Canis lupus familiaris: one gene and its partners. The protein of the gene in region 3 purifies or fractionates together with the protein of the main gene of each other region. This does not show direct contact. Links are inferred from orthologs where the notes say so. Each region holds a gene or a part of one and is shown on either strand. Other genes may lie near its edges. The genes, in order: PNO1, RIOK2, BYSL, RPS3 and CSNK1D.

Region 1 (3,773 bases), on a different chromosome or scaffold from region 3:
TGTCATGGAGACTAGAGCTGTTGTGCGTAAGGCACCTTTGCGGTGCGTGTCATTGTGAGTGGTGGGGACTTTACGAGTAGCAGCTATTTCTGCAGGTATCTAATAAAGCCTTTAAGGACGAGATTCCCGCTTACACCATTCATGGTAGTGGGTCCCGCAGTTAGTGCTCTGGGAAACATGGGCGTATGACGATGATTGAAGTCAGGAGAGGAGATCAGCACTCCCAGGGGGAGAAGAGAAGAGGGGGTCCCTGAGCTGTGGGCCACTGGGCTGCCAGAGGAATCCTGCCGTTGGCCCCCGAGTCCCATGGGTCTTGGGGTGTAGTCTTCAGATGGAACTACCCAACTCTGGAGCTGGGAGCATTTCATTGTGCAAAATCAACACAGTGCTTATCTCACCAAAAACTGGGTCATAGAGGATATATTGGGGAAGGATGGTGGTTAAGGAAATTTTAATAATGAGGAAAGTCTGCCCTGGTGTTTTATTGTAATATTTTCACCTCTGGTCTTAATATGTGTGTTTTTTTTTTGTTTTTTTTTGTTTTTGTAACAGACTTGTAAAGAAACCAAGGATGTTAGTGCTCTAACAAAAGCAGCAGATTTTGTGAAAGCCTTTATTCTTGGGTTTCAGGTGGAGGTGAGTGACTTTGTGACATTTGAATTGGGTGCTTAAAAACACTTAGTATGAACATTTCAACGGGTTTGAGCTTTTTAAAAAAATATTTTTTGAGTCTTCTAGGTCTGGTGAATTTTAACAGTTATTCTCAGGTATGTAAACAGAAGGACTTCACAGCTTTAATTTTTATGTTGTAGGACGCGCTTGCCCTCATTAGGTTGGATGATCTCTTCCTAGAGTCTTTTGAAATTACAGATGGTGAGTCTAGGGTGGTGTTTTTCCCTTAACTGTTGTACTTTTGTACTGCTGACTTTGTATTGTAGGAGACTCTTAGCTTTCTCATGGCATCAGTTGACCTGTGTTATCGGCAGGTTCAAAAAAGTTTTTTTGCGTCTTTTAGGAGGGTTAATTCAGTTAGTGATTAAATTTCATGATGGAGTGGGTGGCGTGCTGAAGTCGCTTGCCTCCTCAGGTCTTGCTTCTCTCATTTAGTGAAGCCCCTAAAGGGAGACCACCTGTCCAGGGCAATAGGAAGAATTGCTGGCAAAGGAGGAAAAACCAAGTTCACCATAGAGAATGTGACACGGACACGGATAGTTTTGGCTGATGTGTAAGTATCTGGTCTTGAGAATATTATTGTCCTGATTTATATGTGATCTTTTGCTGGCTTCAAGGAGTCATAAAAATTGGATTTCATGCATAATGTTGCCACTGACTCTTTGCCAGTGTGCAGTTCTGGATGAAATACAGTTACTTTGGAAGCAGATTAAGTGAGTTGAGAAAAATCTCAGGAATTAAGCTTTTTTTCTCAGCAATAAAGGAAATGATTAGGGGTGCCTGGGTGGCTCAGTCGGTTGATCTTCTGCCTTCTGCTCAGGTCGCCGTCCAGGGGCCCTGGGATCGAGTCTTGCTCCGGGTTCCCTGCTCAGCAGGGAGCCTGCTTCTCCTTCTGCCCCTCCCTTCTTCGTGCTCTCTCTCTCTCTCTCTCTCAAATAAATAGAATCTTCAAAAAAGCAAAGGAAATGTTTATAATTACTATTAAAAGAAGTTACTTGACAGGTGAAGATTTAAATAGTATCCGAGGGGACCGGTACATCAGTAGGAGAGAGGAAGGAGTGGGTGTTTTAAATGCCATTGTGGGGATCCCTGGGTGGCGCAGCGGTTTGGCGCCTGCCTTTGGCCCAGGGCGCGATCCTGGAGACCCGGGATCGAATCCCACGTCGGGCTCCCGGTGCATGGAGCCTGCTTCTCCTTCTGCCTATGTCTCTGCCTCTCTCTCTCTCTCTCTGTGACTATCATAAATAAATAAAAATTAAAAAAAAAAAATAAGCAGCAAGCTGAATGTGGCCTGTGGTTCATAACTTACCAAGCCCTGATATATATGGTATATCTTTAAAAAAAAATAAAAATAAAAAAAAATAAATGCCATTGTGACTTTCCTTGTAAAGAAAGAAATACATGTGCATAATTTAATAAATATTTTTAAATTCTATGTAAAGGCTTTTCACGGGAGGATGGTGAGTATTGCACGTTAGGTGAAAAGCTAGAGAGCAGCTCTATGTGAACGGAAAGGAGAGGAGCCAGGCTTAAAGTCAGGGTGCAGGAAGTCAAGCTGGGATTAGCCCCGGCGGGGCTGCAGCTGCTGCGGTGCCAGGTCGGGGCTCCTGGCAGATGGTGTGGAGGTTATATAATGCCGCCAAGTTGGGGAACGAAGCAGTTGACTGACAGGAGGAGGGACCTGCCCGCTACTAAACCCAGGAATCATTTTATTTAGAATCCTCCTATCTTTGTTCTAAACTCGGGCTCACCATTTTTTAGAACTAAGTTTTGGACTCTGGTTTACAGTGGAGGGTTAACCACACCACCACGTTGACGGCCCCCTTCCTGGAAGACAGGCTTATTGTAACCTTGGTCCTTGCGAGGCGAGCCTGGAGTTGGGAGTATGCAGCCGTGAGGAGAGCTTGTTTCGAACCAGAAATTAAAATATTTTGAAATCCACACCACATTAGAAAGTATCATATGTCGCCCTGGAGACTTTTGAGGATTTAAAAATGTAACTGATGCACTGATCAAATTATGGGTCCTATGAAGTTTAAAACTTTAAGTACGTTGATGAGTGTTAACGTAAAATTAACTAGTTGAACTAGCTTTTTTAATAGCTTTACTGCAGCGTGATGTACATACAAACCACATTACCTGTTTCAGTTTCAGGAAGATGTATAGGCCGGTCTGTGATCCCACCTCAACCCCAGGCCGTCACTCATCTACCTTCTGTCATGGTTTTGCCTTTTCTAGAAATGTGTATAAATGGAAGTGCACAGGAGGATGCAGTCTTTGGTGTATGGCTTGTTTTAATTAGCTTGCTGTTTGGAGTGTCTCCGTTCCTTGGGTAGGTCAGCAGTTCTTACAAGCCAAGTACTGGCGTGAGGTCTGCATTTTGTTCATCCATTCCCAGTGGATGGAGGTTTGGGCTGTTTGCAGTTTGGGGCCGCTAAGAATAATGGTGCTATTACCGAGTTACAAACTGAGTCACATACTACTTGAAATGGAGTGTGTGGTATGAATAAGCTAATTTGAAATCCACATGTTCAGCAACTTCCTGATAACGCTGTGACCATGACACAGACTTGCAGGCACCTGTAAGAGTTGTTTTTGATGAGTTGCTGATAACCTGGTAAACTACAGTACGATGTGAGCAGGATACTATTCCAAATAAACTCAGTGCATCAGATGGGAAGTCATGTTACTTGTGGGTCCTGAGACCTCCACTCCAGCCACCGCCCCGTCCCTTTGGTGGTTTCAGCGGCACAACTACTCACACTTACGTATGCTCGCTGTTTCCTCATCTTTCCTCTGCTATTGTCAAGAATTTTTATTTTTATCGAAATGACACGTACATGTACTTAGCAAGCCCCACATTTGTACCACCTACTCCCATTTCCTCTTCCTCAAAGGAACTAATTTCAACTCTTTTAGCTAACTTTTAAAAATCATATATCCATATTTTCAAATACCTTGTTTATATACCAGCTTCTTGACTTGTTTTTTCAGATTAACTGTTGACATTCTACTATGAAACTTGAAAATTCAGGTTTTTTTCATCTGTCCTCCCACCTCTACCCCAACTACTCAGCCGTTAAAACACCCAGTGTACTTAG
Region 2 (4,456 bases), on a different chromosome or scaffold from region 3:
TCTCTGCCTCTCTCTCTGTGTGGGTCTCATTAATAAATAAATAAAATCTTAAAAAAAAAACAAAACAAAAACAACCAACTTGACATTTTCATGTCTTCTTATGTGAGGTACAGAATGAAAAATTCCATTTTAGTGGAGGTTACCATTAGTTGAGCATGGTCAATGGAAGGCTTACGGCATTCACGTGTAAAAAAAAAAAAAAAAAGAATGCAAAGGCTGCAGTGTAGACGGGATAGAGGATTGTTCTACTGCCTGTACTCCATGGTTTCAGAGTATTAACTATTCTGACTTGGAAAAGAAAGGGCATATGCAGTTGCTTGCCTTCCAACTGCGCTGCGGGGAAGGGAGGGGTATGAAAAGGCTATTAACTGTGTTTGCACAAAGCAACATACTCTGTACTGCGTCGCAGGGCTGAACACCCGGCCAGCAGAACCCCAGCAGGAAAAACATGGGACTCTAAATACTGAACTCCAAAGTTCACACTCCAAGTGTTCGAGACTCAACGCACAAAGAAGCTGGAAACGCCGTCGAGGCTCCTGCAGGTCATAATCCTCCGCGACCGTATGTTGCACCCGCCGCTGACGCGCGAGGGCCTAACAAGACAGGTAACGGTCTTTTAAAAAAAAAAAAAAAATGTGATTCATGAAACAAGATAGAAACACAAACATCAGGCGAGTTTGGTCACCCTCGCTGCTTTTGCAGGGGAGGGAGGGTAACGCAGCCCCCCACCCCGCCCCCGGCCTGGGGCGCATGTTGTTTAAAGTCTTGCCTGGGTTACCATTCCTGTGGGCGTAGAGAAGGGCTGCAGGTTCCGAGTGTGTAGCTCTCCTAAAGCCCCACGGCGTGGCCTCTGATCAGCAACCTCCGCGGACCCGACCCAACTCGTCAACACGGCCCACGGCCGGTGCAAAGGCCCGGCAGACGCGGCCACCAGGGCCCGCCTTCCACGCAGCCCAAGCCCCGCCCCCGCCCCGCGCAGGCGCACTCCCGAGGCCCGCCGCCCTCCCTAAAACCAACACTGAGCACGCGCAGGAGAGAGCTCTCGTTAGCCACGCCCCCCTCCGGGGCGGGCGCTGTGGAGAAAAAAAAAAAAAAAAAAAAAGGCGGGCCTGCCTGCCTGATTCCTGCTATTTTCCTTTTTAACCGCCTTGTGTGTCCGGACACGTTTTGGGTTCATTTCCTCCCCTTCCTTGTTGGAACTCACTTTGCCTGAAGCAGGAGTTGCCGTCGAGGAATACAATTTGCTTCCCCCGCCGCCGACCCCGGGAAGTTCCTTTCCGCTCGGATCCAGGCGGCTCGCCTCCTTTCGGCAAGTGGGTCCTGACAGATAGGAAGAATAAAACGGTCTGTTGTAGAGGTCGAAAGAGATTGAAAGTCCGTTCACTTAGGTGAAAAAAGCCATCCCAAAAATATATATATTCTGCATCGTCCCCTGCGGCGTGCAGCGTAGAGACACGGGACGTGTGATTTTCCCACGCGGGGCGGGAGCGTTCCATTAACGAGGACCTGCAGCGCGCAGCGGCGCATGCGCGAGCGCCCCTGCGGCCGGGAGGCGCCCGGGAGCTGCCCGGGAGGCGTCCGCAGAGTCTGCGGCTGCAGAGGAGGCGGCTCCTGGCTTGGTCTTCGGGCGCCATGGGGAAGGTGAACGTGGCCAAGTTACGTTACCTGAGCCGGGATGACTTCAGGGTCCTGACCGCGGTAAGGAGTCGCCGTGTCCCCCCGGCCGCCCGCCGGCCGCGCGCTCTCCGGCTCCCGCCTCGCCTGAGGGCGGAGCGCGCCGTAGGCCTCGGAGACCCGGGCGGCCCAGGTGCAGGACCGGGCCCGGCCGTCAGGTCGCTCGGGAGCTTCCGTCCGCCCCGAAGCAGAGCCGGGCCGCTCTCGTGGGCGTTTCCCTCCTCTCTGCTCCCGCTACTCGGGCTCCAGGGGCGCCCTTGGGTCCCCGCGGCCCGGACGGCGTCTCGGGGCCTGCCTTCCGCCCCCCCCCCCCCCGACGGGGGCTCCGGGACTCCCGAGGACTGGTGACGCCGGGGGTCCTCACGCACACGGTCACTCACGCAGCATTTATTCACTGTGATTCAAGCGGCGCTGACTTGTCAGGGCTTTTTGGTGACGACGTGAGGGAACTCGCAGGGGGCCCAAGACGAGGGAGACGGGCCGAGTAAACCGGGAAAGGAATGAGGTGCAATCAGCTAATAAGCGCTGAGGTCCGTAAAATAGAAACCACGTGCACGTCGAGGGCGGGGGGGGGGACGGATGTCATCTTTAGATTCGGTGCGACGTCAGGGAAGGCTGCTGAGGGGATCCCGGGTGGGGCAGCGGTTTAGGGCCGCCTTCGGCCCAGGGCGTGACCCTGGGGACCCGGGGTCGAGTCCCGCGTCTGGCGTCGGACTCCCTGCATGGAGCCTGCTTCTCCCTCTGCCTGTGTCTCTGCCTCTCTCTCATGAATAAGTAAATAAAATCCTTTTAAAAATTTTTTTAAAAAGGGGATGACTACCTAAATGAAATAATCTTGCTTATTTACTGTGCGTAACCAGAGTTAAGGGCTTTTGAAAAAGTTCCTGGCGCTTGGTAGATACTGAAGAAATATTTGCCAAGTAAGAGAAAGACTGGCAGGGGAGATGGGGAAATAATGGGAGCTGGATGAAAAGGAGGCAGTCCAGTGAAGTTCTTGGAAAGTGATGGAGACAGAGGAAACAGCTGTACTGGGGGGAGGGGGCGGGAGGGGTCGGGAGGGGTCGAGGGGGGGGGGGTCCCCCTGGGTGGCTCAGCGGTTTAGCACCGCCTTCGGCCCAGGGCGTGATCCTGGGGACCTAGGATCAAGTTCTACCCACATCGGGCCCCCTGCATGGAGCCTGCTTCTCTCCCTCTGCCTGTGTCTCTGCCTCTCTCTATCTCTCATGAATAAATAAAATCTTAAAAGAAAAGAAACAGCTGAACTGCGTGCAAAGCTTCTGACCTCAGAAGTTTATGAAGAAGGGAAAGGCCAGTGTGGCTGGAGCCATAGTGAGCAAGAGACTTAATGGCTGGAGATGGCATTGGACAAGGTGAGAGACTGGTCGTGTGCTGCAGAGCCTTGTGAGCTTGGTAAAGAATTCAGAAGATACTCCACATATAGGGGAACTGCTGAATGTTTTAACCAGTGACAAAAACGGATTTTTTTTTTTTTTAAAGACGTTATTCATTTATTCATGAGAGACACAGAGAGAGAGAGGCAGAGACACAGGCAGAGGGAGAAGCAGGCTCCATGCAGGGAGCCTGATGCAGGACTCCATCCCAGGACCCTGGGACCATGACCTGAGCTGATGGTGGATGCTTAAGCGACAGAGCCACCCAAGAGCCTTTGAATGAATTTTTGTTCAAATAAACTCTTTAAAAAAAATTTTTTTAAAGAGTTTATTTATTCATGAGAGACACAGAGAGAGAGAGAGGCAGAGACAAAGGCAGAGGGAGATGCAGGCTCCAGGCAGGGAACCCAATGCAGGACATGATCCCAGAACCGCGGGATCATGACCTGAGTCAAAGGCAGCTGCTCAACTGCGGAGCAACCCAGGCATTCCTCAGAAACTGATTTTAATGGTCGTAGTCTTAGGGAACAAAGATCAACAACACGTAGATTAGGCATTTCCAGAATAAAACAAATTTGTTTAGAAGATACTATCTTTCAATTAAATAGGCAGTAAGGCATCACATGCAAATTCAGTGTGAAATTTGGAAGATGCTTGATCCAGCTGTATTTTCTTTAAATGCCTGCTGTCACTTCTGAAAAATAGGTCCCTCTCAGCACATGGACTTATTCCTCAATGCCTCTGACAGAAATATGGGCGTAGTGAGAAAGAATGTGAGAGACTAACAGAATGAGTTAAGGTGTGAGATCTTGGTCGGGACATGCAAACAGTGCCGGATTTATCTTCCAAAACGTCGGTCTCTGCAGTATTTAAGATCTTTTTTGAAGCTCACCAACAAATGACTCATTAAATATTTCAGTCTCTGTTGAGGCATACCATCCTCGGTATCAGAGGCCACCTTTCCTTGACTGTCTTCCCTTGACTTCTCAGGCGCCTCCTACATCAGTAATCATACTTTAGCTGGCTGCCCTTACATTTTAATGTGAAATTCCCCCAAAATTCTGTCTGTCGTCCTTCCTTTGTCTTTCATTCTGTCTTGTTCAATGATCATATCCACTTCATAGCTTTATCCTTACCTGCCTCAAATAACCATTTTTTCCCCTTTAATTATGACTTCAGTCCGGAAAATCTTCATTTGAAAGACCTTCCAGAACTTTGAGTTGTGATGAATGTCCTTAAAACATCCCTGTTCACAAATCTCTTTTACATAAACACCTTCAAGGTTTTCAGCTTTCCTCAGAAATCTAAAACCCTTTGGTCTGCATTTCAGGGCCTCCCATATCTTGCTCAAAAGCGTTTTCCAGCCTTCTTTTCATGAACTCTATTTGCCC
Region 3 (3,773 bases):
TTCCATTCTAGTGGAGTAGCGACATGCTCAGAAGCTTAAACAAGCCACAGACCCAGGGCTATTCCTAGGTCCTTCCCCACTCTGTCCACTCCCAGCCCCCACCCTGGGATACTCCTATCTGGGTATCTGCTGACTGTTCTCCATCCTCACCAACATTACCTGGAGTGCAACACAGGGATGGAGCATTTGGTGATGATGCTACCCACGATGATGGCTTCGCGGAGGGTACAGGTGCCAGACTCACACAGGGGGATCAGGATCCCTGGGGAGGGTCAGAGAGGCAGTCATTTTTGAGTCTAGGGTGAGAGAAAGGAGCTAGAGCAGGTTCCCCACCTACCCGAGACAGTCATCTCCCAAGTCAGGCTTGCTGCTTTCACCTGCAGGAGCTCCGGCCCCTCCCTCTCAGTTCCCACCTTTAAACCAGGCTCCAGGCTTGAACAGGGCCTTCTTGAGTGCCATGTAGAGGTGGAAGTTGAGTCGTTTGTATTCAGCGATGTCATCTCGTACCCGGGGGAGCAGGACAAGGTTGTAGAAGCGCTGAGCCATGCGTTCCTTGAGGTTAGAGGCGAAAATCCTAGGTTTGGGGGTAGGGGGGTAGAATACGGAGGGAGATCCCTGGTCACTTGGTAGCCAGGAGCTGGCACTTTATTACTTTTTTTTTAAAGATTTAAAAACTTTATTTGAAAGACAGTACATGCACAAGCAGGGAGGAAGGGCAGAGGGAAAGGGAGCAGCAGACTCCCCTGCTAAGCAGGGAGCCTGACTTGGGGCTTAATCCCAGGGCCCTGGGATCATGACTTGAGCCAAAGATAAGACACCTAACTGACTGAACCACCTGGAGCTGGCACTTTAAATAATCACTGTGGATGGTGCACATAAGAGATCTGAGGGGTGAGTAGGAGTAAGCTGTGTGCAGACACAGATTAGGGAGGGCTCAGGAGGGGCTACAAGATGTATCCAAACAAAGGGAGCGCTTTGTCTTTGGGAAAGCCAGAGCTCTCTGCTCTTCACCTTTCTTCCCTGACATAGATTTTCTTTACCTTGCTGTCACGAGGGACCCAAGTGTGCCTGGGGAGCCACAGACTTCAGAGGCCCCTCTGATACACCAGGGGTTGTCCCCCAGTAGTTCTAAGCCCCACTTCTGAAAACTCATCACAGCAGAGTCTCAACCAAGTCCTGGCTCCGAAACATGAAACAGGAAAGCTGGGAAAACCGTGATGTACAGAAACACAAGCTAGAGCTCTGGGGCAAGGCAAAGATGTAATGACAGTAGCAGAGAAAGCTGCACCTCCACCCCCACTGCCACCTACAGACCCCAGGCCGCCCTAACCCCCCTCTTCTACCTCGTGGCTTGGTACATGGCGGCTGCAGTCCAGGCCTCAGGCTCTGTGATGTACAGGATTTGCTCCCAGTTGGAGAGCGCAGGGATGATCTTGAAGGCCTTGGGCAGTTTCCCACTGCGGTACTTCGATAACACCTGGGGATGAGGGCGCTGAGTCATCGCTGCCCATGACACACAAGCCATGTGCCGCATGCCATGTCCTCATGTGGTTGGTTTTCACAGATTAGCTCACTTAATCCTCACCACAACCCTGTTAGGATGTGCTTTTATGCCCTTGTTTTCCAGATAGGGAAACCAAGACTAGAGTTAAGGAACCTTACCCAAGGCTACCAAGTCCCTGAGTGGCAGAGCAGGTATCTTTTAAGTTTGCTTTTGGCCACTCTGCCTCATTTGTGAGGGAACACAAAGCCTTAGGTGGAGCCCACAGCCCCTGGGAGGGTATTTGATCACGGCTCTCCTCTCAGCTCTTACCTCCCGGACCCCTCTGTAGACCTCTAGGACCCGGGGGTCCAGCTGGGGCATAGGAAAGCCTGACACCTCTGACATAACCATCTCGACTTCCGTCTGCTTTTCGGTTAGCTTCTCCATGATGATGTCAGCCAGGGTACGCCTAAGAGTAGAGGAGGTGTGGGAGGGAAGGGGAGAGGGCGGTGGTCAGTCTGGGAAGCTCTAGACTTCCTGCACAGTCCCTCATGAGCTCTAATACACTTGTGATCCCGCTGGGATGTGTGGCCCCAGTTTTCCTGAGCCCTACCACCCACCACAGAATCCTGAGCAGTGTGAGGACCCAAAAGTCATTCATTTTGGGACAAAGCTGATAGCTGTGTGGAGGTGGAGGGCCTGGACTCTGAAGTCAGTCAGCCTGGGTTCAGATCTTGGCTCTTCCTCTCCCTGTATGACCCTGGGCATACTTGGCCTCTCTATGTCTCAGTTTCCTTATCTGTGAGACCGGGACAGTAACAGTGCCTAACTCATAACGTCAGCACAAGGATTACAGGAGTTAATGTTTGCATGTTACTTAGAACTCTTAGTACACAGCAAGTGTACAGTAAGCATTGCCTATTTCAAACACATCTATCGAGTGCTGGCAACATGCTAAGGGATCTCCTATTACAAAGTCCTGATCTGGCCTCTCTAGAATGCCAGACACATCTCTGTTATTTTCCAAGATTTCAAGCAACTGGGGCCATTAAGGAGAGACTATGACACAAACTTCCCCCCAATTTCACTTTTTGAAATTTATGGAAAGATTTCTAAGATTAATAATATTTTTCTCAGTTTCCTTGCACAGAGCATATCAAACATAACCTTATCAGGATGGTTTAGAATTATTGTCACATTGGGCTTTGGTAGAATGATGTCTTCAGAGGCTGCTAAGGCATATCTAAAATGGCTATTTTCGGGATCCCGGGTGGTGCAGCAGTTTAGCGCCTGCCTTTGGCCCAGAGCGTGATCCTGGAGACCCGGGATTAAATCCCACGTCGGGCTCCCGGTGCATGGAGCCTGCTTCTCCCTCTGCCTATGTCTCTGCCTCTCTCTTTCTCTCTGTGTGACTATCATAAATAAAAAAAAAAAATTTAAAAAAATGGCTATTTTCTCAACAGTAGGCATTGAAGCAGGATTTTCCAGATTATCTCATATAGGCTGTACAACATCTCATAGAGGTGTCATTATTGCCCTTATTCAGACATAGGAACTGATATCCAGAGACGTCAATAACTCACCCAGGGTCTCAGAGCTCTCAAGTAAGGAGAGAGTCAAACCCTGGTCTTTCAGCCTGAAATCCAAGTACTTGACAATACACTATAATGTGCCCCCAACTACATGGGCCCCTGACTGCTGAGTTCACATGGGTCTGGTTTGCTTTCAGAAGTTGCCAGCTGTCATTTCTCAGGACTATCAAGAATCCCTGTTTTGGCAGCTCCAAGCAATAAAATCATCCTGCCAATCATGTCAGAATACTATATTACAAAGGAGTTTGGAGGTGCTGAGAACCAAGGGCCCTCTGCCAGGAGAAGCATACAGCCCAAGTACACACTTTGTGACGTCTACTTTAGCTGCTGGGCATCAGTGTGGGAAACTGGCTCATTTCCTCACTGTGTTCTCAGTGACCACAGAACTTATCCTTCAGCTTCTGTGTCTTTTCTCAATACTATCAGCAACGAGAGATGCATTTAGCTCCTAAAAGCCTAAGAACTGGGATCCCTGGGTGGCGCAGCGGTTTGGCGCCTGCCTTTGGCCCAGGGCGCGATCCTGGAGACCCGGGATCGAATCCCACATCAGGCTCCCGGTGCATGGAGCCTGCTTCTCCCTCTGCCTATGTCTCTGCCTCTCTCTCTTTCTCTCTCTGTGACTATCATAAATAAATAAAAATTAAAAAAAAATAAAATAAAAAAATAAAAGCCTAAGAACTAAGAAGAGTATCATATAA
Region 4 (4,252 bases), on a different chromosome or scaffold from region 3:
GAGAAGCTTAAAAGAGTTTTATAGAGAAGTTTCCTGATTTTTAAATGTAGGCAAACTATTCAAATTTAAGGGGCACCTGGGTAGGTCAGTGGTTGAACATCTGCCCTTGGCTCAGATTGTGATCTTGGGGGTCTTGGAATCCAGTCCTGCATCAGGCTTCCTGTGGGGAGTCTGCTTCTCCCTCTGCCTGTGTCTCTGCCTCACTCTCTCTGTGTCTCTCATGAATAAATAAATAAATCTTTGAAAAAAAAACTATTCAAATTTAAAATAAAACTGTTCATCACAGAAAAACTTGTTTTTCTTTTCTTCTTTTCTTTTTATTGTATCTGTATGACACGATGGGTATTAGCTGAACCTATTTTGGTCATCATTTCACAATATTTGTAAATCAAAGCATCATGCTGCATGCCTCAAACGTATACAGTGATGTATGCCAATTATTTCTCAATAAAACTGTTGTTGAGGTGTTTCAGAGTAAAGTGTGCAGAGGGCTGTAATTTACCTTGAAAAAGATCAAAAGATGCACCCTTGGGTGGATAGAGGGATGGATAGATATGGGATAAAGCAAATATGGCAAAAATGTTAATTGGATCACCTTAGTGACGCATATACATAATTCTTTCAACCTTCCTGTGTGCTTGAAAATTTCAAAATATAAGGGGTACAGTTTTTTTTAACGGAAAAATAATTGTGACCCCATGAACCACTACTTGGTGACTTCCGTTACTAGTTTTAATGGACTTTATGAAAGTGAGGCAGAGGTAAATGAGTTCATAATATAAAGGGCATAGAACAGTCCCTAGCATATTTAATAAATATTAGATATTTATATCGCCAGCATTTGGAACAGAGAAAACGGACACAGAAGGGCTGGACCTAAACGAATTTCATTGAGTGTAGAGTGCAGGGACTAGGATTGCACGCTGTTGCTGTGTGAGTTTATACCTGTAATTTCCATCTCTGCGCCTCACGTTGCTCACTTAAGCTAATAAGAATTGGACCTAAGCTCCCCTGATTGATCTGCTCCCTTTCCTGTTTCTGCCTATACGTGTCTCCATTACCCCTCCTTTTTTTCCCCTCTTTAATGCCTTCCTAAAAACTACAATTCCCAGGAGCGCCTACAGGCGTCGACGTCGCGCAGTTCTTTGTCGTAGCTCGCGCCCTTTATACCTACTTCCGCCCACGAGCCACTTCCTTTTCTTTCCGGGGCGCGCGGCGGCAAGATGGCGGTGCAAATTTCCAAGAAGAGGAAGGTAAGACGCTGGGGTCTAGGTTCGGGGATCTGTGGTGCCGCGCGGGTCGAGGCTTGTCGAGATGCCGTCGCGAGACCCTCAGCTTCGAGCCCTGCTTCGGGAAGCGGCCTGGGCCGCGTGGCATTCCCGCGGACCGCGGATGGCGGTGGATTGAATGCGAGGCCCGAGCCAGGCGAGCGCGGTTTGGCGGCGGAAGGGAGTGATGAGAGACGTCTGCCGCTTCTGGGCGAAGACCAGACGTGAGCACCGGGCGCCCCTCCCGCCCGAGACAAAGCGCTTGGGAGCATTACTTGGTTAACAGGTAGCTTTAGTAAGCGTATTTTGAGAGGTTGGGCCGTTCCCCCTAATGTCTCTCACTAGGACTTTGGGGGGGGGAGGTGGCGTGTGCACGCCTTCTTCGTGTCGGGGCGCGGCCCTCTGACCCCCGAGACCTCGGTTGGAGAGGCTGCTGTATCTTGCCCCGTCTCTACCGCGGAGAAAGTAACCGGGAGGGAGGAGAACCGGACAGAGCACTGGATCGAGCTTTAACTTTTCGCTTTTCCGCAGGCGGAAACTGTAAAGTCCGCTTGCTTTAGAAAGAGGCAACTAACTTGTCATTTTGTGTGTGTACACAGCGTCGTGCAAATCCACACACTTTTTCGAATTAGAGTTCAGCTTTGTGAGACATGTACTGTAGGCAAGATAACATGGCTGGGAGTCTTCTGATGGTCCCTGAAGGCAGCGTATTTTCATGGGTTACAAAGGTAGCATCTCTGCTCTGCAGACAGAAGGAGTTGTGAATGTGCCATTTTATTTTATTTATCTTAAGATTTTACTTATTTATTCATGGGAGACACAGACCCAGGCAGAGGGAGAAGCAGACTCCATGCAGGGAGCCCGATGTGGGACTGGATCTCGGGACTCCAGGATCACGCCCTGCGCCGCCCTGGACCGGAGGCAGGCGCTTAACTGCTGAGCTACCTGGGCATCCCGTGAATGTGCCATTTTAGAGCAGCTGTTTGTTTGGCATGTGCTACTCCTAAAGAAGTCTTTAAAACCCTTCAATGAAGAGAAGATGACGAGTCTGACTGGAGGTGTTATCTTTGCCAGGCGGCCCCTACTCCTTGCTGCGTTCTGTGGCAGTTTTAAGGGTCCTTGGGTTAAAGTAACTTCCAAAGGACGATCTAGAGGCATTTGTCTGAGAAGGGTTGTTAAATTCTGTGTTGGAACAAGGGTAGTAAGAGTGATGATGGGATGTTTGTATGAGGTGTTGCATTGGCAGAAGGACAATGACCCTGCCATCCCACGTTCTAATTGTGAATTTTCCCTTTTGGTTAGTTTGTCGCTGATGGCATCTTCAAAGCTGAACTGAATGAGTTTCTCACTCGGGAGCTCGCTGAAGATGGCTACTCTGGGGTTGAGGTCCGAGTTACACCAACCAGGACAGAAATCATTATCCTGGCCACCAGGTGAGATCTCATTTTCCTGGTTAGCACCTGTTACTTGTTGTATATGCTAGGTTGGTGTATTCTGTAAACTTCCAGGGAGAACCAGTGAATTGGCCTTATTAGCAAACGTAAGTGGTTTGTTTTTGTTTTTAAGATTTTTATTCATTTGAAAAAAAAAAAAAAAGATTTTATTCATTTGACTGAGAGTGCAAAGCGGAGGATGGGAGGGGGTGTTGAGGGGCTGAGGGAGGAGCAGGGAGCCCTTTGCCGGGCTTGATCCCAGGGCCCTGGGATCTTGACCTGAGTGACCTGAGCCAAAGGCAGACACTTACCAACTGAGCCAACGTGGCACCCCACAAATGTGTATTTTCGTAACTGCCTTTTAAATCTGATTCTAGCTCTTGTCATCCAAAATTTGTATTTTCTATGTTAGACGGGTGAGACTTCATTACCACATATATGTAAAATTTAAAGCCATGTTTGCAGTTTTGTGAGAGCTATTGTGTATTTTCGTTTTCTCAGGACACAGAATGTTCTTGGTGAAAAGGGCCGGAGGATCCGGGAATTGACTGCTGTGGTTCAGAAGAGGTTTGGTTTTCCTGAGGGCAGTGTAGAGGTGAGTGATTTTGCCTTTTGCCAGAGATTACCGTGGACCTGGAAATGGTTATTTAGGGTGGTTACTTTTATAAACCCTTAATGTCATGAAGACCTTAGTTATCACCAAGTATTACATATGAATTGGTGTTTTGTTGGTTGTCTTAATAAGTAGCAGGCTTTATTTTATAGGCCTTTTCTGCTCATTTCTGGTGGTTAAGGGACTTTTTTTTACTCTCAACTTAAGTATGGTAATGATATGTATGATGGATTGGCTATCCCATCACTTGATGTAGCTGTAGAAGTATCTAGGGATGAGAGGGCAATAAGGAAAGATTCAGACTATGTCACAGCGTAGGCTACCTATGAGTAGTAGGAGTGTTTTAGTACTTGAGGGATGCCACAGTGACCACATGCTTGTATGGTGAATGAGTTTTTTTTTTTTCTTTAATTGAAAACAATGGGGAAAGTTAACAGGTTTAAGGGTGTACCTTGATTTCTTCTTAAAGCTCTATGCCGAAAAGGTGGCCACAAGAGGTCTATGTGCTATTGCCCAGGCAGAGTCACTGCGTTACAAACTCCTAGGAGGCCTTGCTGTGCGGAGGTAAGTGTCCTGAGACTTTTTTTTTTCAAGATTTTATTTATTTATTCATGAGTTATACACAGAGAGGCAGGGAGATAGAGGGAGAAGCAGGCTCCTCACAGGGAGCCTGATGCAGGACTCAATCCCTGGACCAGGATCACACCCTGAGCCAAAGGCAGACACTCAACTACTGAGCCACCCAGGCATCCCTGAATGATTATGTTTTAAAGAGTGGTCAGTGCTATAAAGGGAGTACACTTCTTGGTGCTTAGGTAATAGAACAAAAACAACTCCAGGGAGAGGAGGTCAGGGTTCCCGTTGAAGTTAGCTCCATGAAGTGTGGAGATTATAAAGGCATAAGACATAGTCCTGATGGGAGAGAGCTAATCTGAGCA
Region 5 (4,297 bases), on a different chromosome or scaffold from region 3:
TCTGCAAATGAAAGGGCTTCTGATGTCCAGTGCCTCACAAGACATCACCTCCAACAGCAAGGGGCCAAAGCACGTGGAAGCTAAAGCTGATGAAGACACAGGGGTGGGAAGGCTTTGCCTTATGGCCAAAATAGCAGGTACAGGCAACGTTTCGCATAAGCACGTATCGCACAGAATACAGGAACTCTGAGGCCTTTGCACCCTGCCCTTCCTGACAGCCTTCGGGATCTGGCAAGCTTGGAGGTAAATAGAAGATGGGGACCGCACATTTGGGGGTCCATCGTGGCCCAAGTGCAGTACTTTCTGAAGTCCAGGCACTGGAGAAATAGCCCATCTTTAAAAGGGCCATGTGGGATGGACTGGAAGAACTGGCAGGGCACAGGGCCGCATGACCATGTCAATGCAGCAGGCGGCCGGGAAGGCAGGCCAATACCGGGCCCTCCTGGTCCATGAGGCACTCAGTAAACTGAAAGACGGCCTCCCCTCCTCGCAGTTTCAAACCTCTGAAAGCACACAACAATTTCTGTCCCAGGCAGAAATCCAAGACCCCAAATGCAGGATCACAACACAGGGAACCTACCTGGAGAAGTCGAGTGTTCTGATCAATAGTAAAATGACAGCAGCAGAAGTGATTTAAATTGTAATCACAGCAGAATACATGGAACCTAACCATTTTCAAGATATGAGGATGCAATTCCTTAACTAATGCCTTTACCTACAGAGGAGGAACTATGGTAGGGATGACTCATTCTGTTCCGTGGTCTTTGGGGCAGCCATCTTTGAGTCTCACCTACAGCTGGTGGGGTTCCTCAGACCCTGCGGTCCAGCCACATCTCTCAAGTAACAAGATCACCTCTCCTCTGTGGAGCAGCACTCAGCCTGAATGGACCCCCGTGGGGGCCCAGAGCCCATGCTGACGGAAAAGATCAGCTGTGGCCTAAGTGCACCTCAACAGGCCGTGCGGGTGCTAGGAGCGAGGGTGTGAGACTGAGGAGAGACCCCTCTGGGACAGGTCAGCCTGAGCCGTGCATCAGGTGCCGCCGGTGTGCCTAACACAAGGGGAGGCCCAGAGGGCACCACGGTGAATAAGCACACGGGGCTCCCTGCACCAGCTTCAGAAAGCACAGAGCTGGCTAGCACCTGAGGACAGAGAGTTCCAAAACAAATACCTACTTTTTGATGCCCGTGTAAAGGTGACGAATGCATGGACTTCTCAGGACAGCTCCTAGATCCTAGATTAAAACTTTGGCCAAATTTTACTGTTCTGGGAATAACGCAAACAGTTTACATTCACCCAGCAAATTTCCCTAAAGGAACGCTGCTCAGAAGGCAGCCAGCAAACTACTGGAGAGAAACGTCTGTGAAGTGTGTTTTGCTCAGCAGGACAGTAAGGCAGAGGGCAGGCAGGATCAGAGGCATCTGTAGGGCCCGGGACAGGCTTGCTCTGTGGGGTGAGAAGGCACCAAAAGCGGTAATGAACAAACGTGTGCACTCCTAACGCCGTCAGCCCCGGAGGTGCAGCTGCTCCGGGTGACAAGACGGGAGGCCGGGTGGGGACCCCCTGAAGCCACTCCTGACCCCTCTGACAGGTACATAGCCCAACAGAAGCAGCAGGGCAGGGGCTCTGCGCAACATCGGAGCGTGTTTACCCCAGACTTGCGCAACAGTCCCTCTGCGCACACAGCCCCGCCAGGCTGTGCGTCCCCAGGTCCAGGGGGGTACCGGCGACAGCAAAAGTTATTTTTAAATCCCCAACTTGAAGGCTCAAGCCGACCGTTCACGTTACACGTGCATTTCCTTGCACTGCAAATCGGAAACGATCCAGAACTTTCCAATCCCATTTTTCTTTCTTTCTTTCTTTTATTTTTTTATTTTTTACCCCAGATGTACCTGGAGAACCGTAACGGCCAGAGGGACCACCTCGGGAGTAGAGAGCGCTTTACTACTTTATTTGCCTCTAATTTTTGCCCACACCGCGACGCCGACTCCGTCTGCGCTCCCCCAAATCCCAGTCTGGCTCCGGCGGAGGCACCCCGTCCACAACTTGGATGCGCAACATGTCCTTCGGGGGCCGCTCGACGGGGCGGGGGACCCACCCGGCGGCCCCGCGCCCGCCCCGGCGCCGTCAGAGCCCGGGGAGCCGCCGAGCTGGGGCTGCGCCGTCGCACGGGCCCGCGGGCCGCGGAAGCCTGAGGCCGGCGCCCCGACCCCCCCCCGGGCCCCCCCACGTGCCCGGGCCGCAGGGGGCCGCACACCCGCCCGGCGGCCTTTGTCTGCCCGCGGGGGACACCCGGGCGCGGACAGCGGGCGGGGGTCTGGGGCGGCGCAGGGCCGCTCCCGGCAGCCTGGGGCGCACGTCCGGGCAGGCGCCCCGGGGCACGGCCGGACCCCGCGGAGGGGCTGGGGGCGGGGCGGGGCGGGGCGGAGGGGTGGGTCCCGGTCACCGCCGCGGGCCAGCGAGGGGGGTCCCCGGGGCGGAGGCGGGCCGCGGGGCCTCGCAGCGGGGTCCGGGCGTGTCCGGGGTCCTGGGCGGGGGTCCCCGACCCGGGGGCGGGGGGGGGCGCGGAGGGCGCGGACGCCGGTCCGGGGGCGGCCCGGGCTGGGGGGGAGGGGCGCCTCACCGAGATAGATGTCTCCAAAGGAGCCGCTGCCGATCTTCCGGCCCAGCCGGTACCTGTTCCCGACTCTGAGCTCCATGGCGGCGGCGGCGGCGGGTCCGGCTCGCTCCTGCCCTCCCAGCCGCTTCCTGGGTCTGAGCTCGGGGAGGCGGCGCCGCTGCTGCCGCTACGGCGGGTCGGGCTGCCGGCTCCGCCCCCCTCACGGCCCCGCTTTCACCATCGCTTTCCGGCCGCCCCGCTGCTCCCAGCGCCTCAATACGGGGCGGATGGGACAGTCCGAGCGCCGCCGCCCCTGCTCCGGCCCCCGCCGACCCCGCTCGCCCTCTCCCCGCCGCGGATGGACTCGGATCTTCCGGGCCTAAATCCCCCTTCAGCTGCCCGAAGGAGCCGCCGCCATCGCGCTGTGACGTCACTTCCCCTAGCAACCCGGAGGGGCGGGGCCGCGCTCCCCGAGGGGCGGGGCCGCGGCTTCGGACGGTGGGGCGGGGCCTGGGCGGGGCCAGGGGGCGGGGCGGGGCCAGCGCGCACCCGCGTCCTCGAGAACCCCGGGACCCCGGGGCGGTCCCCTCTTTTCGGTTTGCCCAGCCGCCTCAGCCCCGGGCTGCCGGGGGTCCATTCCACGTGCAGCCTGCACGTGCTGGCGCAGGGGCTTCGTATGTCCTCGCGGGTGCCGGGGAAGCCAGCGACTCCCCGCGACACACCTGGGACAGGCCCCAGGGCAGTGCTTTTTGCAAGAGGGACGGGGGCGGAGCCTGTCTGCCCCTCCAGCCCAGGGACCCGCAGGACCCCGGGGACTCAGGTGTGCCCGGCCCGCCGCTGCAGCACTGCCCGCCGCTGCCCGCCCACGCCTCAAGCCTTATGCGCTCAAACCTAGAGCCCGAGGTCAGACCCGAAAGGAGAAGGCGCAGCTACCAGGGATTCAAATGGTGAGGCCGTGGGCCTGCCTCTCAGTCTCATCTTCCTGGAGAACAAATCAACCTTTTCACCTAATTTGTATCTAGTCTGAAGGTTCCTCTTGCAAAAGAAAGCAAGAATGTTAAAGTTCAGAATGATGCCTGGCTTCAAAGATCTGGAGTCTTGATTCTGATCACTGGAAGGGAGTCCTCCAGGGAAGCATCCAAGCCGAGAAGGAATGACTTCCTTGTCATTCCTTCTGGCGCCTACGCCCCACGTAAAAAGGGAGAACCGTAGCACATAATGTTAATGCGTACTTGGGAGCATCTGGCAAATACCTACTACTCTATGCGTGGGGCCTGTGTGCTGGGCCTGTGCACGGGGCTGGCTGCGGCCAGGAGAGCAGCCTGTGTGCCAATGGACCATCAGGACCTCCTCTCCGGGTGGCCCAGGGGAGGCGGGGAAGGAGCGCAGTGGGCAGTGAGTGTCCTTCTGCCCCTCTCCCACACTCAGTCTCAGGAGTGCAGCCCCTGTCCAAAAATAGCTGGGGGTGGGGTTGGGGAGGCTGGCATCAATTCCTGAGCGTTGCTAGCAGTGCCTGGACACGGGAGAGGCTACCAGGCAAACCATGATCAGCCGCTGGTGAGCGGTGGGCAGTGGGGAATGCCCCATGGCCGTGTCAGCCTGGTTTCTCAGTCTTACAGTGTGAGGGTGGGGGGATATTGTCAAACTGGTAAAAACAGCCTGTTGCCAGAATTCCCTGGTGAACAGTGTCCTGCTCCCCT

What was found.
Region 1: the proteins of BYSL (region 3) and PNO1 fractionate together in Homo sapiens (co-fractionation; 4 studies listed by BioGRID and IntAct, with this or other methods). This does not show direct contact. The link is inferred for Canis lupus familiaris from reciprocal best matches to the Homo sapiens genes BYSL and PNO1.
Region 2: the proteins of BYSL (region 3) and RIOK2 purify together in Homo sapiens (affinity purification with mass spectrometry; 3 studies listed by BioGRID and IntAct, with this or other methods). This does not show direct contact. The link is inferred for Canis lupus familiaris from reciprocal best matches to the Homo sapiens genes BYSL and RIOK2.
Region 4: the proteins of BYSL (region 3) and RPS3 purify together in Homo sapiens (affinity purification with mass spectrometry; 4 studies listed by BioGRID and IntAct, counting the BioPlex papers as one, with this or other methods). This does not show direct contact. The link is inferred for Canis lupus familiaris from reciprocal best matches to the Homo sapiens genes BYSL and RPS3.
Region 5: the proteins of BYSL (region 3) and CSNK1D purify together in Homo sapiens (affinity purification with mass spectrometry; 3 studies listed by BioGRID and IntAct, with this or other methods). This does not show direct contact. The link is inferred for Canis lupus familiaris from reciprocal best matches to the Homo sapiens genes BYSL and CSNK1D.

What each region holds. Positions count from the first base shown.
Region 1 is NC_049231.1:68,531,156-68,534,928, forward strand, and holds part of PNO1 (RNA-binding protein PNO1), read left to right. Parts: intron 1-552; coding exon 553-636; intron 637-812; coding exon 813-873; intron 874-1,107; coding exon 1,108-1,225; intron 1,226-3,773. UniProt on the Homo sapiens protein: Part of the small subunit (SSU) processome, first precursor of the small eukaryotic ribosomal subunit.
Region 2 is NC_049224.1:12,586,091-12,590,546, forward strand, and holds the start of RIOK2 (serine/threonine-protein kinase RIO2), read left to right. Parts: upstream 1-1,519; 5' UTR 1,520-1,632; coding exon 1,633-1,698; intron 1,699-2,074; exon of another isoform or gene 2,075-2,174; coding exon of another isoform or gene 2,175-2,204; intron 2,205-2,920; exon of another isoform or gene 2,921-3,029; coding exon of another isoform or gene 3,030-3,044; intron 3,045-4,456. UniProt on the Homo sapiens protein: Serine/threonine-protein kinase involved in the final steps of cytoplasmic maturation of the 40S ribosomal subunit. Involved in export of the 40S pre-ribosome particles (pre-40S) from the nucleus to the cytoplasm.
Region 3 is NC_049233.1:10,775,806-10,779,578, reverse strand, and holds part of BYSL (bystin), read right to left. Parts: intron 1,953-3,773; coding exon 1,814-1,952; intron 1,478-1,813; coding exon 1,344-1,477; intron 575-1,343; coding exon 414-574; intron 263-413; coding exon 160-262; intron 1-159. UniProt on the Homo sapiens protein: Required for processing of 20S pre-rRNA precursor and biogenesis of 40S ribosomal subunits. May be required for trophinin-dependent regulation of cell adhesion during implantation of human embryos.
Region 4 is NC_049242.1:23,299,462-23,303,713, reverse strand, and holds the start of RPS3 (40S ribosomal protein S3), read left to right. Parts: upstream 1-1,189; 5' UTR 1,190-1,223; coding exon 1,224-1,253; intron 1,254-2,291; exon of another isoform or gene 2,292-2,439; intron 2,440-2,570; coding exon 2,571-2,701; intron 2,702-3,202; coding exon 3,203-3,296; intron 3,297-3,783; coding exon 3,784-3,878; intron 3,879-4,252. UniProt on the Homo sapiens protein: Component of the small ribosomal subunit. The ribosome is a large ribonucleoprotein complex responsible for the synthesis of proteins in the cell. Has endonuclease activity and plays a role in repair of damaged DNA.
Region 5 is NC_049230.1:899,020-903,316, reverse strand, and holds the start of CSNK1D (casein kinase I), read right to left. Parts: upstream 3,009-4,297; 5' UTR 2,698-3,008; coding exon 2,622-2,697; intron 1-2,621. UniProt on the Homo sapiens protein: Essential serine/threonine-protein kinase that regulates diverse cellular growth and survival processes including Wnt signaling, DNA repair and circadian rhythms. It can phosphorylate a large number of proteins.